3 linked regions of the Rattus norvegicus genome follow. The protein of the gene in region 1 purifies or fractionates together with the protein of each later gene. This does not show direct contact. Links are inferred from orthologs where the notes say so. Each region holds a gene or a part of one and is shown in the gene's direction. Other genes may lie near its edges. The genes, in order: Rrs1, Nifk and Npm1.

The links.
Region 2: the proteins of Rrs1 (region 1) and Nifk purify together in Homo sapiens (affinity purification with mass spectrometry; 3 studies listed by BioGRID and IntAct, counting the BioPlex papers as one, with this or other methods). This does not show direct contact. The link is inferred for Rattus norvegicus from reciprocal best matches to the Homo sapiens genes RRS1 and NIFK.
Region 3: the proteins of Rrs1 (region 1) and Npm1 purify together in Homo sapiens (affinity purification with mass spectrometry; 3 studies listed by BioGRID and IntAct, counting the BioPlex papers as one, with this or other methods). This does not show direct contact. The link is inferred for Rattus norvegicus from reciprocal best matches to the Homo sapiens genes RRS1 and NPM1.

The regions. Positions count from the first base shown.
Region 1 is NC_086023.1:14,515,803-14,519,552, reverse strand, and holds Rrs1 (ribosome biogenesis regulatory protein homolog), read left to right. Parts: upstream 1-1,616; 5' UTR 1,617-1,705; coding exon 1,706-2,803; 3' UTR 2,804-3,250; downstream 3,251-3,750. UniProt on the Homo sapiens protein: Involved in ribosomal large subunit assembly. May regulate the localization of the 5S RNP/5S ribonucleoprotein particle to the nucleolus.
Region 2 is NC_086031.1:31,945,109-31,948,858, forward strand, and holds the start of Nifk (MKI67 FHA domain-interacting nucleolar phosphoprotein), read left to right. Parts: upstream 1-1,037; 5' UTR 1,038-1,069; coding exon 1,070-1,174; intron 1,175-2,733; coding exon of another isoform or gene 2,734-2,736; coding exon 2,737-2,871; intron 2,872-3,750.
Region 3 is NC_086028.1:18,249,223-18,252,872, reverse strand, and holds part of Npm1 (nucleophosmin), read left to right. Parts: coding exon 1-10; intron 11-124; coding exon 125-186; intron 187-2,860; coding exon 2,861-2,918; intron 2,919-3,228; coding exon 3,229-3,312; intron 3,313-3,650. UniProt on the Homo sapiens protein: Involved in diverse cellular processes such as ribosome biogenesis, centrosome duplication, protein chaperoning, histone assembly, cell proliferation, and regulation of tumor suppressors p53/TP53 and ARF.

The DNA.
Region 1 (3,750 bases):
AAGCACAGAATATACAACCAACTCAGACATGAGAAAGTTTCCTAGTAACAATAGTAATAGCACATGAGAAAGGTTCTTTGTAACAATAATAATAGCATAAAATGCCTGCTTAGACAGGCAGCAGTTACCCAAACCTTAACAGTACCAATAAAAATCATTTTATGGTCGAGGGTTACCAGAACATCAGAAAATGTATTCAAAGGTCATCAGGAAGGTTGAGAACCACTGTCCTGTGGCTTACACACACACACACACACACACACACACCCCTTATGCATTTGTGTGAAATGTGTTAAAAACTCCTCATTGAAATACTTTCAACAGAAAATCACGAATCAGTAAAATTGAACCATGTGAAGGTGAGTTAAGTGGTTTAAGTGCCCCTAGCTAATATTTTATCAAATTAACTGGTGTTCTGGATTTCTTGAACAAAAATATTGAGAGTGAAAATAAAATGTTAACTGCAGATCTAAAATGTGGCTGAATCATCCTTAATAATTCCTACCATAATTCCCAGAAGGAGATGAAATTGAGCACCATTGAGAAAGCAAGGGCCAAGAAGGAGGCTCACTTGCTTGCTCCCATTTGCTCCCAATCCTGACATTTGCTCAGCATTTGCTCCCAATCCTGACAACCTCAGTTCAATTCGCAGAACTTTAAGAAATTTCTCCTCTGACCGCCATATATGTGTGACAGCACGACAAATAAGTTATTTAGTTTCATGTTTTAAAAAGTAAATCTAAGTTAATGTGATTTTTAAAGACTGATGAAATCCCTTTAAGTACTGGTTGCACTGATCAAAGTAACCATGTGTAGTGGGCTGGGCGAGGGCTGGGCGAGGGCTGGGCGAGGGCTGGGCGAGGGCTGGGCGAGGGCTGGGCGAGGGCTGGGCGAGGGCTGGGCGAGGGCTGGCCGAGGGCTGGCCGAGGGCTGGCCGAGGGCTGGCCGAGGGCTGGCCGAGGGCTGGCCGAGGGCTGGCCGAGGGCTGGCCGAGGGCTGGGGCTGCAGTGCCCTGCCCCCTGCCACCTGCCCTGCCCCCTGCGCCCTGCCCCCTACCCTGCCCTGCCCTCTGCCCTGTCCTGCCCCCTTCCCTGCTCCCTGCCCTGCCCCTGCCCCCTGCCTTGCCCCCTGCCCTGTGCCCTGTGCCCTGCGCCCTGCGCCCTGCCCAATTTTCTATTCCTGTGGATCTGTGTGGGATCTCTCTCCGCTCACACCTAGAGTACAGAAAACGGACTATATAACTCTGGGGAAATAATTTGTGTCGTCCATACACTTCTGTAATAGATTTACCCTCAAGTACTGTTGTGTAAACTCCATCTGGAAACTACAACGCCCGCCTGCAGTTCCAAGAGTTTGAGCAGCCCGCTTCCTACAGCGACCGCCCCTACCCCGCGGCATGCTGGGAAACGTAGTCCCAACCAGGCCTTGCGCTTGTTAGTCTTCATTCAGCCAACCTTCAGCGCCAGTCTAGCCAACATCCGGTTACGAGTCCAAGTCCCGCCTCTAAGCCCATCTGCTCTCCAATGCCGCCCTCTGCCGGTCCTTCCCTCACCGCCCAGTTGAGAGCAGGTTCCCGGAAGTGAGCTTTTCTCTTCCGGATTACGAGTCCGGACGTCCGCACGTGGTGGCTGGTTTTTGGGCTCTGCCATAGTAGCAAAGCATTCCGCTGCAGCCCCAAAGTGAGGGAACGGAGCCGGCGAGAGCCATGGAGGGGCAGAGTGTGGAGGAGCTGCTGGCCAAAGCGAAGCAGGAGGAGGCGGAGAAGCTGCAGCGCATCACGGTGCACAAGGAGCTGGAGCTGGAGTTCGACCTGGGCAACCTGCTGGCTTCGGACCGCAACCCCCCGACGGTGCTGCGCCAGGCCGGACCCTCGCCGGAGGCCGAGCTGCGGGCCCTGGCGCGGGACAACACGCAGCTTCTTGTCAACCAACTATGGCAGCTGCCAACCGAGCGCGTGGAGGAGGCGGTGGTAGCGCGCTTGCCTGAGCCCGCCACACGCCTGCCCCGCGAGAAGCCGCTGCCCCGGCCACGACCGCTCACCCGCTGGCAGCAGTTCGCGCGCCTTAAGGGCATCCGTCCCAAGAAGAAGACCAACCTCGTGTGGGACGAGGTGAGTGGCCAGTGGCGACGCCGTTGGGGCTACAAACGTGCCCGAGATGACACTAAGGAGTGGCTGATCGAGGTGCCTGGGAGCGCAGACCCCATGGAAGACCAGTTCGCCAAGAGGATTCGGGCTAAGAAAGAACGCGTGGCCAAGAACGAGCTGAACCGACTGCGGAACCTGGCCCGCGCGCACAAGATGCAGATGCCCAGCTCAGCCGGCCTGCACCCTACGGGACACCAGAGTAAGGAGGAGCTGGGCCGCGCCATGCAAGTGGCCAAGGTCTCCACCGCTTCTGTGGGACGCTTCCAGGAGCGCCTCCCCAAGGAGAAAGCGCCCCGGGGCTCCGGCAAGAAGAGGAAGTTTCAGCCCCTCTTTGGGGACTTTGCAGCCGAGAAAAAAAACCAACTGGAGCTACTTCGAGTCATGAACAGCAAGAAACCTCAGCTGGACGTGACGAGGGCCACCAACAAGCAGATGAGGGAAGAGGACCAAGAGGAGGCTGCCAAGAGGAGGAAAATGAGCCAGAAAGGCAAGAAAAAAGGGGGCCGGCAAGGACCTTCGGGCAGGAGAAAGGGCGGTCCACCGAGTCAGGGAGAGAAAAGGAAAGGAGTCTTGGGAGGCAAGAAGCATTCCAGGCCACCTGCCTTAGGTGGCAAGAAGAAAGGAGTGCCGCACCATGGAGGGAAGAGGAGAAAGTAGTGCTCTCCCCTCTGGACCTCTTCTGAAAAGCTAGAACCGTACTTGCTGTAGGCTGGTTCAGGAGGTGGCCGCTGTCCTCAATGAGCTTGACATTGAACGGGCAGGTTTGCCTCCCCTCGAGTCAGTGCTGGACTACGAATTAATGGAGACACTGACTGGTTGGTGTGTTTTGAGATTATGAGAATTACAGAAATACTGTGGTCAGAACCAGGAATAAGTTAATGCCTGCCTTTTTATCTTGACTTTGGATGCTGGGTAAAGGTTGATCAAATTTCTAGGTTATAGTAGACTGGTTTCAGCATTTTTGCATTATTTTGGTAATAAAGCTTGTATATTTATCAAAGCAGGAAGAAGGGGGAAATTTACAAGTTTGCCGGTAGAAGTTATATGTGAAGCCAGTGACATGGGTACCAATACGTGTGTGCTTGCAAAAAAAAAAAAAAAAAAGTTAAAATGGTTATAAATGACCCCTGGTATTAGGAAAACTCAAACATTCTTTTGGCACTAACTATAATTAAAGTATGGTGCTTCTTGATGTTGGTTCAGGTGGTGCATTTGGCCAATAATTTGGAACCACACTAAATGATGGTAATTAACCTTGTTACTCCAGAAAATGGTTGTCATTTTGTTTGTAGCTGATGGCTTTTGTTTAATTGGCTTGGGTTTTAGTTTTTAGCAAATGCTAGGCTGGAATTCTCTATGGAGCCAAGGCTGCCTGGAACTCACTCAGGCCAAGTGCTGAGATTATAAAGGAGAGGCTACACCCAGCAGATTCCATGGTTATTTCTGTCCTGGATGTTATTTTTTTAATCTTAATAAACTTATCTTTGCATAAGTATTAATACTTGAATACTTGCATTATTTTTGTAAATTATGAATTGGAAATCTAGAATTGAGTGAGGGAGGGGTGTTTTCTGTTAACCAAGTTGGTCTGTCAGGGCGGAGTT
Region 2 (3,750 bases), on another chromosome or scaffold:
AAACCTACTAGGGAGCTGAAGAGATGGCTCTGTGGTTAAGAGCCAAAGGACCCTGGCTCACAGTCCTTAAGTCCATGTTCTGATACCCTCTTCTGTCCTCGGCACACACATTACACATATAGGGTACACATACAGACAGGCAAAACACTTATCACATAAAAATAAAATAAATAGGGACTGAACAAGTAGTTCACAGTTAAAAATATTTTCTACTATTCCAGAGGACTTGAGTTCAGTTCCCAGTACACTGGGCATCTCACAACAGCCTGTAATTCCAGGTTCAGGAGATCCCACACCATTATTCTCTATGGTCACCTGAATTCCTGAACACATAAAGACACATGTATAATATCAAAAATACAAATATATGTTGCACTATGTTGTGGAGATTTCCATGGTGAGGACTGGTGGAATTTCAAGTCCTGAACCTGAGGGAACTCAGGGACTGGTGGAACTTTTTTCTTGTATGCCAGAGTCTGGTCACTCTCCCACTTCTGGGCGGTTAGAAATCGTTAGGGATGTTAGGGAAAGAGGGGGACATGTGGAGATTTGGGGAGGCTGGCCATTGAAGCTCCTCAGGCAGGGGCCTGACCACTTTCCTGCTTGAGTGTTTACAAAGTTTACAAAAGGAGTCCATGGCAGGAAGACTTTCCCTATTGCTTGTAGGCCTGACTAGCCAACAGACATGGATAATGTTTGGGACTTGTAAATTTGTTTTGAGTCCATGGAGCCCAGGCCGTGGTCGAACTATGCATATGAGAACCGCTTTGAACTCCTGATCCTCCTGCCTCCACCTCCCAAATTCTAGGATTACAGGCGTGGGGCTCCAGTCATGGTTTATGCAGAGCTGGGCAAGCACTTCACCAACATTAGCCTCCGAATAATTTTTAATCCGTCTTAGAAAGTCTTTTAGATTGTGGTCAATAGGTGGCGCTCGAGGTCGTCCAATTCCAAACACCAGGGCTTGCTCTTCTTGCTACACTCCCGCCTCTGCTTCCGCTTCCGAGTAGTGAAAAGAACGTCACTTCCGGAGGTTCCGCGTGGATTAACTTGTTCGTGCTTCTCCAGTATGGCCGAGTATTCAGGCCCTGCGAAGCCGACTCTGGCGTTGAACCCGCGGGAGGACTCGCAGTTTGAGAAGGATCTGACGCAAATACAACGGCGCGCGAAAAAGGTGAGCGGCGGGGCTCTCTGGCCGCGCTGACTCGGGAGCCCACCTCTCACGGGCTCTGGAGACTGAGGCAGGCAGGGAATCGGTGTGAGGTTTGACCCTTTAGGCCCTCAGGGCTCACGTGAAAAAGGAGGTGTACCACGTGTGGGGAGCATGGCACCTCCAATTCCCAAAATATGTTAAAGCTGTCACATTTCCGCTTTGGCCCGCAAAATGGGGGTTCAGAATGAACCACAGCATTTGGAAGGTATGTATGTCCCCTTACGTTGTAGTGCTTAGTAGACGGAACAGACAAATCCAGGTCCTTGGACGAGCGGGGAAGCAGGAGGATCGAGAGTCAGAAAACAGCTCGGGCTCAGTATTCAGACCAGAGCTTCGCCAAAGAAAATAGGGATTACAGCCTGCCAAGCTCTGTTCCCAGACTGCCCCGAAAGGAAGTTTATATCCCCTTTGGTTTTCAGCATGAGGTGCACTGGAGAGAAAGGAAGATTTTCTTTCTTGTTTTGCTGTTGTCCTGGCGGGGGTGTCTTTTGTGCGGGTTGTTTTTGTTACAGTGTCTTTGTAGAGTTTTTGTAGCACAAAATTGCATCACATTTGCCGTGCAGTCTAGTCCTTGAACCATATATCCACTGGGATTACAGGTGTAGGTCACTATAGGTCACCCAGTACCCTACCTGATGGGAAACAAGTTCTTGTTCTCTAAGGTGGTGACAGAAGTATAGTCTTCACTGTGAAGGTTAATCGGAAATGATTCGATGTAATAAGCTGCCATCTGAGTTCAGAGTTGAAGGTCTTGGATTCGGAGTGACAATGACAGACTTTCACTTGATTGTCCATTAAGGAACACATGTGCCGACTGCTTTGTAGGGACAGGTGGGTGTGCATGCACACCACGGCACACATAAGTCTGTCTCTGCAGAGTCTGTGGCTCTGTGTGATTGAACTCAAGCCTCAGGTTTGCACAGCGGTGCTTAAGAAAAGAGATACAGACACCTAGTTTTTCAGTTTCTGCTGTGATAGAGAAATGTTCCCGGACCAAGAGGAATGAAGGGTGTTGAAAATTTTGTTGCAGGCCAGGTAAGGTTACATTTACCTTCAGTCCAGTGCTGGAGAGACAGAGGCAGGCAAAGCTCTACCTATCCTCTGAAAGGACTTTAGAAAGCTGGGGGGTGGTGGCACACACCTTTACTCCAGCACTCAGGAGGCAGAAGCAGGTGGGTCTGTGTGAGTTTGAGTCTGGCCTGGTCTACAAAGCTAACTCCAGGACAACTAGGGCTACACAAAGAAACCCTGTCTCAAAAAAGGGAAAAAAGACTTTAGAATTAAATTTTTCTGAAGTTAAGGAATGGTAACATACCTTTGTTGAAAAATAAAGTCCTTTGCAGAGAGCATAGTAATGCCTTTACTCTTAGTATTCATGAATTAGAGGCCAGCCTGGTCTACATAGTGAGTTTCAGGCCAGCCAAGGCTCCATAATGAGACCCAGGTCAGAAAAAAATGTGTATATACAATGTTTTGGTGCAGTGTGAATTTTTTAAAATGTTTATCTGTTTTGTCCTCAGCAGAAGAAGGAAGAAAAACTTAACTCTGGAGTAGTTTATCTGGGGCACCTACCTTCAACGCTCTCTGAAAGCCACATCTATGACTACTGTGCCCAGTTTGGCGATATTAGAAGATTCAGATTGTCCAGAAGTAAGCGGGTAAGATTCTGTACCTGAATTCAACTATGTTTATTTTGCTTGTCAATTGTACGGCCTCCTTTGTATTCATAGGCAAAACTTTGTTACCTACAAAGTTCCTACTTGGGAACTCTTCACAAGCGAAGCAGCATGGTGGCTCATACCGTTCGTCCCGGCACTTGGGAGACAGATAGGTAGACCACTGAGTTTGAAGCCAGTCACAGCTACATAATGTGGATTTCTATCTCAATAAAGAGAGAAAAATAATGAGGCTGTGGAGATAGCCCAGTTTGTAACTGTCCATCTACAGAACCCAGGTCAAAAGCCAGATATGGTCACATACATGTGTAATCCCAGTGCTAGGAAAGTGGGAATGGGGTTCCTGGGGCGCACTGACTAGCCAGCTCAGCCCAGCTCCAGCCCAGTGACAGGGTGACTGAGACCTGGGGAAATGGCCCAATGGTAAGAGCACTCGCGCTCTAAACAGGAAGTAGAACACACACACACGCACCTTTTCCTCAAGCACCAACTGAAAGGCCAAGTGAGCCCAGTACTGGGAGCTGGAGCCTGGATTGTAGAACTTGCTCCCAGCCAGTTTAGCCAAAACAGAAGTGGCAGGTCAGTTTTTTGGTTTTGGTTTTTGGTGGGTTTTTTTTTGTTTTGTTTTTTGTGAATTTGCTTTTACTGGGGCTTAAATCATGCGGTGGGATTTGTCTGTGGTACCACACCAGCTTCTTAAGGCCTGTTGCCCACTGGTTCCTCCCTGGAAGAGAATTTCCAACTCTTGGGGTTTCTGCTGGTTGCCTTTCCTAGTTCTCTGAACAATCCTTTCCCTTGGGAGACTTGTGCTGCCCCACCTGTCTCTACCTCCCTCCTTGGAAACAAGGTGTTGTTTTGTCT
Region 3 (3,650 bases), on another chromosome or scaffold:
AGTCCCACAGGTAAAGACAGTACAATGGTTTTATTCCCCCTAGATCATTTTCTGGCTTTCAGATTGATTGGTTAATCACCAAGGATTTCTTCTGTTGCTCATAAATAACATATTTTTCTTTCAGAAAAAAGTAAAACTTGATGAAGATGATGATGAGGATGATGAAGATGATGAGGATGATGAAGAGTAAGTAGTATGAGTAATATGATCTCAGAAATTTGATAGTACATGTACTTGTAAAGGTTTTAGGAGGACTGATTTGCCAGTGGGTTCTGTAAAAGTAATCAGTGGTTGATGTTTGGAAGGAAGTAAAGGTTTTTGTAACAATAAAGGATTTCGCATTATGATTTCTTGTTTTCCTTACTGAGAAGCTATTCAATGGGAAATGGGTTTTTCTTGGGAGATACAGTTTAGAAGTAAGATTTCATGTGTTCAATATAAGTCAGTAAACAGCTAGATGGGAAGTATGGAATTCCTACTTTGAGTCTCACATGATAATTTGTTACCTTGAGATCTTGAGAAGTTCTGGAATTGGTCAAGTATATTGACAATATATACTGAACTTAAGGTAACTGTTCAAAGCAAAATTGGTCTTGATGTATTTATTGGTTACATTTATTCATAGTAGTCAATAAGGGACAAATCTTGAGGTTAAGTTTAGTAGTTTCCACTGGAGCAGTAATAGTTCATAGATACCAGTGAGGGTGAAGTAATAGACTGAAGGTTTACATAGTTAAGTTGGAGAGTTAAACCATATTGCTAGAAGTTCTAGAATAAAAATGTCCTCAGAATCCAGAGAGGCTTTAAACACTGATATGTGCTTTGTGTATATATTATATAAAAAGTTCTGCCTATGAATTCAAATCCTGAATCAGATACTCAATGTTTCTGATTTCAAGATTGGCTTACATTTTCTTGTATGGTTTAACAATAAGTTTGGGGAGCAGCAAAAAATCCACATTCGTATATATATATGAATGGGCTATACTACAAAAATGGCATTTATGCAAAGATTTTGACTATTGCCATTTAAGGAAAATCAAGATTCCCTTTATGGGATGCTGTTAGAAACTAGGCAATGAATCTATATATATGTGTTCTCCATAAGATGGTATTGCGTGGTGATATGGCCTTTTTTTTTTTTTTGAGCTGAGGACTGAACCCAGGGCTTTGTGCTTGTTAGGCAAGCACTCTACCACTGAACTAAATCCCCAACCCCTGAAACCCCTGATACAGCTTTTCTTGAATCAATTTTAGGTGCTGGATGAATGATAATGCATTGATTATGATGCAAAAAGCTTTTTATAGAAATTGACATTGATTGTGGTAACAGAAAGCACCTCCATGGGTTGGGTTGTAAGGCTAGTAATTTTTAACTCACATGTTGAATAAACTGTCTTTTTTAAAAGATTTATTTGTATGAATATACTGTAGCAATCTTCAGATAGACCAGAAGGAGGGGATCAGATCCCATTACATACAGGGTTATGAGCCGCCATGTGGTTGCTGGGAATTGAACTCAGGACCTCTGTAAGAGCAGAGCAGTCAGTGCTCTTAACCAGTGAGCTCTCCTGCTCTGTAAGGCCAGTTTTATACTGACCAATAGTGTTAAAAATAACCAAAACCGGGGCTGGGGATTTAGCTCAGTGGTAGAACGCTTACCTAGGAAGCGCAAGGCCCTGGGTTCGGTCCCCAGCTCCGAAAAAAAAATAACCAAAACCACTGGATTTACAGGTGGCTTTGACATAATTCTAACAAGACAATCCCACTACTGAAAAGGTAACTTAGCAGAAATTCATGCTTTTAACTTCATTAACACTAGATTGAAAAATAGTGACCTTGCTTTCAGAGTAGACTTTACTTATAATAATAGGATGTTTCAGTGACCACACTGATTCACCCCCTTCTAAAAATCACAATATTTTGTGAACATTTTGTACTTCCTCTTAGTAAGTGCCATGTGGCTTTAAATCAAAATCTCAGATCTAGATTGAAAGTGAGAAGCAGCAGCATCTTTTTTTGAGATGTTAAGTAACACTGAAGTAGTTGGAGGTGGATTGTTAATTACAATCTGACAGCTTAATACGTCTTTAGGGAGAGCCAATAATTAATAAGCCTTGCCAAACACTGCACATACACATCGGAATGAAGTATAAGCAGAAGAGCTTTGATAGGAGAAACAGGGCACTGGTACAATCAGAAGATGTAGAATTTTTTTGGTCAATTTTTTACTTTATTACTGTATGTACAATAGTTCATCAGCCCCATTTATGTCTGGCATAGATCCCAATGCTTAGTTTTTTAATGGCTAAAAACATGTGCATGTGCTATTGCTGTGGGTATTTGGGGTTATTATTACCACATGAGAGTTCTTCCTAAGTTTGCGTCTTGAGTAATGTATGAAGCAGTGTCTTGTTTTTGGTTTATACTCCCTAGTGACTAAAATAGTCTTACATATTATATTTATTATTGGGGAGACATGGTCTGTTTAGATTCAGTTAGACAAGCATCTTTGCTCTAGTAGGGATCATGTAAAAGTTAAATCCCCACCCTGCAGAAGGAGGATTAATCTAGCCCTGGCTGTCCACTAAAAGTGGCACTAAAGATAAGTAACCACCACCTGGCTAAAAGTTAATTTTAAAAAGCCTAGATTCTTTACAGTTTGGTACAACTGGTTTGATTGGAGATATTTGCTAACACTGAAATTAAACAACTGCATTTCACAACCCTCTGAAACAATAGTTTCAAGTAAATATTGTTAGGTTCTTAACATAAATCTATTCAAGTACTGGTGCTACTAACTTGCTACAGTGCGTCAATATGGCTTAGTTCTAAGTGTCTTGGCATATTTCATTTGTAGTGATGATGATGATGATTTTGATGAAGAGGAAACTGAAGAAAAGGTTCCAGTGAAGAAAGTGAGTACATAAGATAATGGAAATTTCTTAGTCCTATTAGTAAAAGCTGGCTTAGTTGTTAACTTAAAAATTGGTTCTGAGGGTTGGGGATTTAGCTCAGTGGTAGAGTGCAAGGCCCTGGGTTCGGTCCCCAGCTCCGAAAAAAAGGAAAGAAAAAAAAATTGGTTCTGAGTTAGACAAGAAAATTTGAGAACTTTATCTTTTTATATGAGCTACAACTTGTTGATTACTTAGGTTTAGGGCAGTTTAATCTGAGTTGATCTCTACTGGAGAGGGCATTTAGTGATTTAAGATCATTTTCTAATTGCAGTCTGTACGAGATACCCCAGCCAAAAATGCACAAAAATCAAACCAAAATGGGAAAGATTTAAAACCATCAACACCAAGGTCAAAGGTAAGTACCCAAGTTAACAATGGATGTCATTTATCTATTTAGGGAAAGTAGCAAATCCCATGTTAAGAACCTTGTCTGCCTAAAACTTGGTGTTTGTGGTACTTAATTAACCCTGTGTACATAGTAGATTGAGATTGTAGTGTACATTAAAATATCACGATACATAAATTTGTGAAGTGTGTCATGTACTGGGATGGACTACATGGCATCTGTAGTTGACTTTATTTTGTACACCAGTTGAATTCTGAGCTGTGTTGTGTGTGTATAACTTTCATGATCTAGGTGTATACTTGTAGAGGTCAAATAATTGTCAGGAGTTATTATTATAGGAGTTGGCC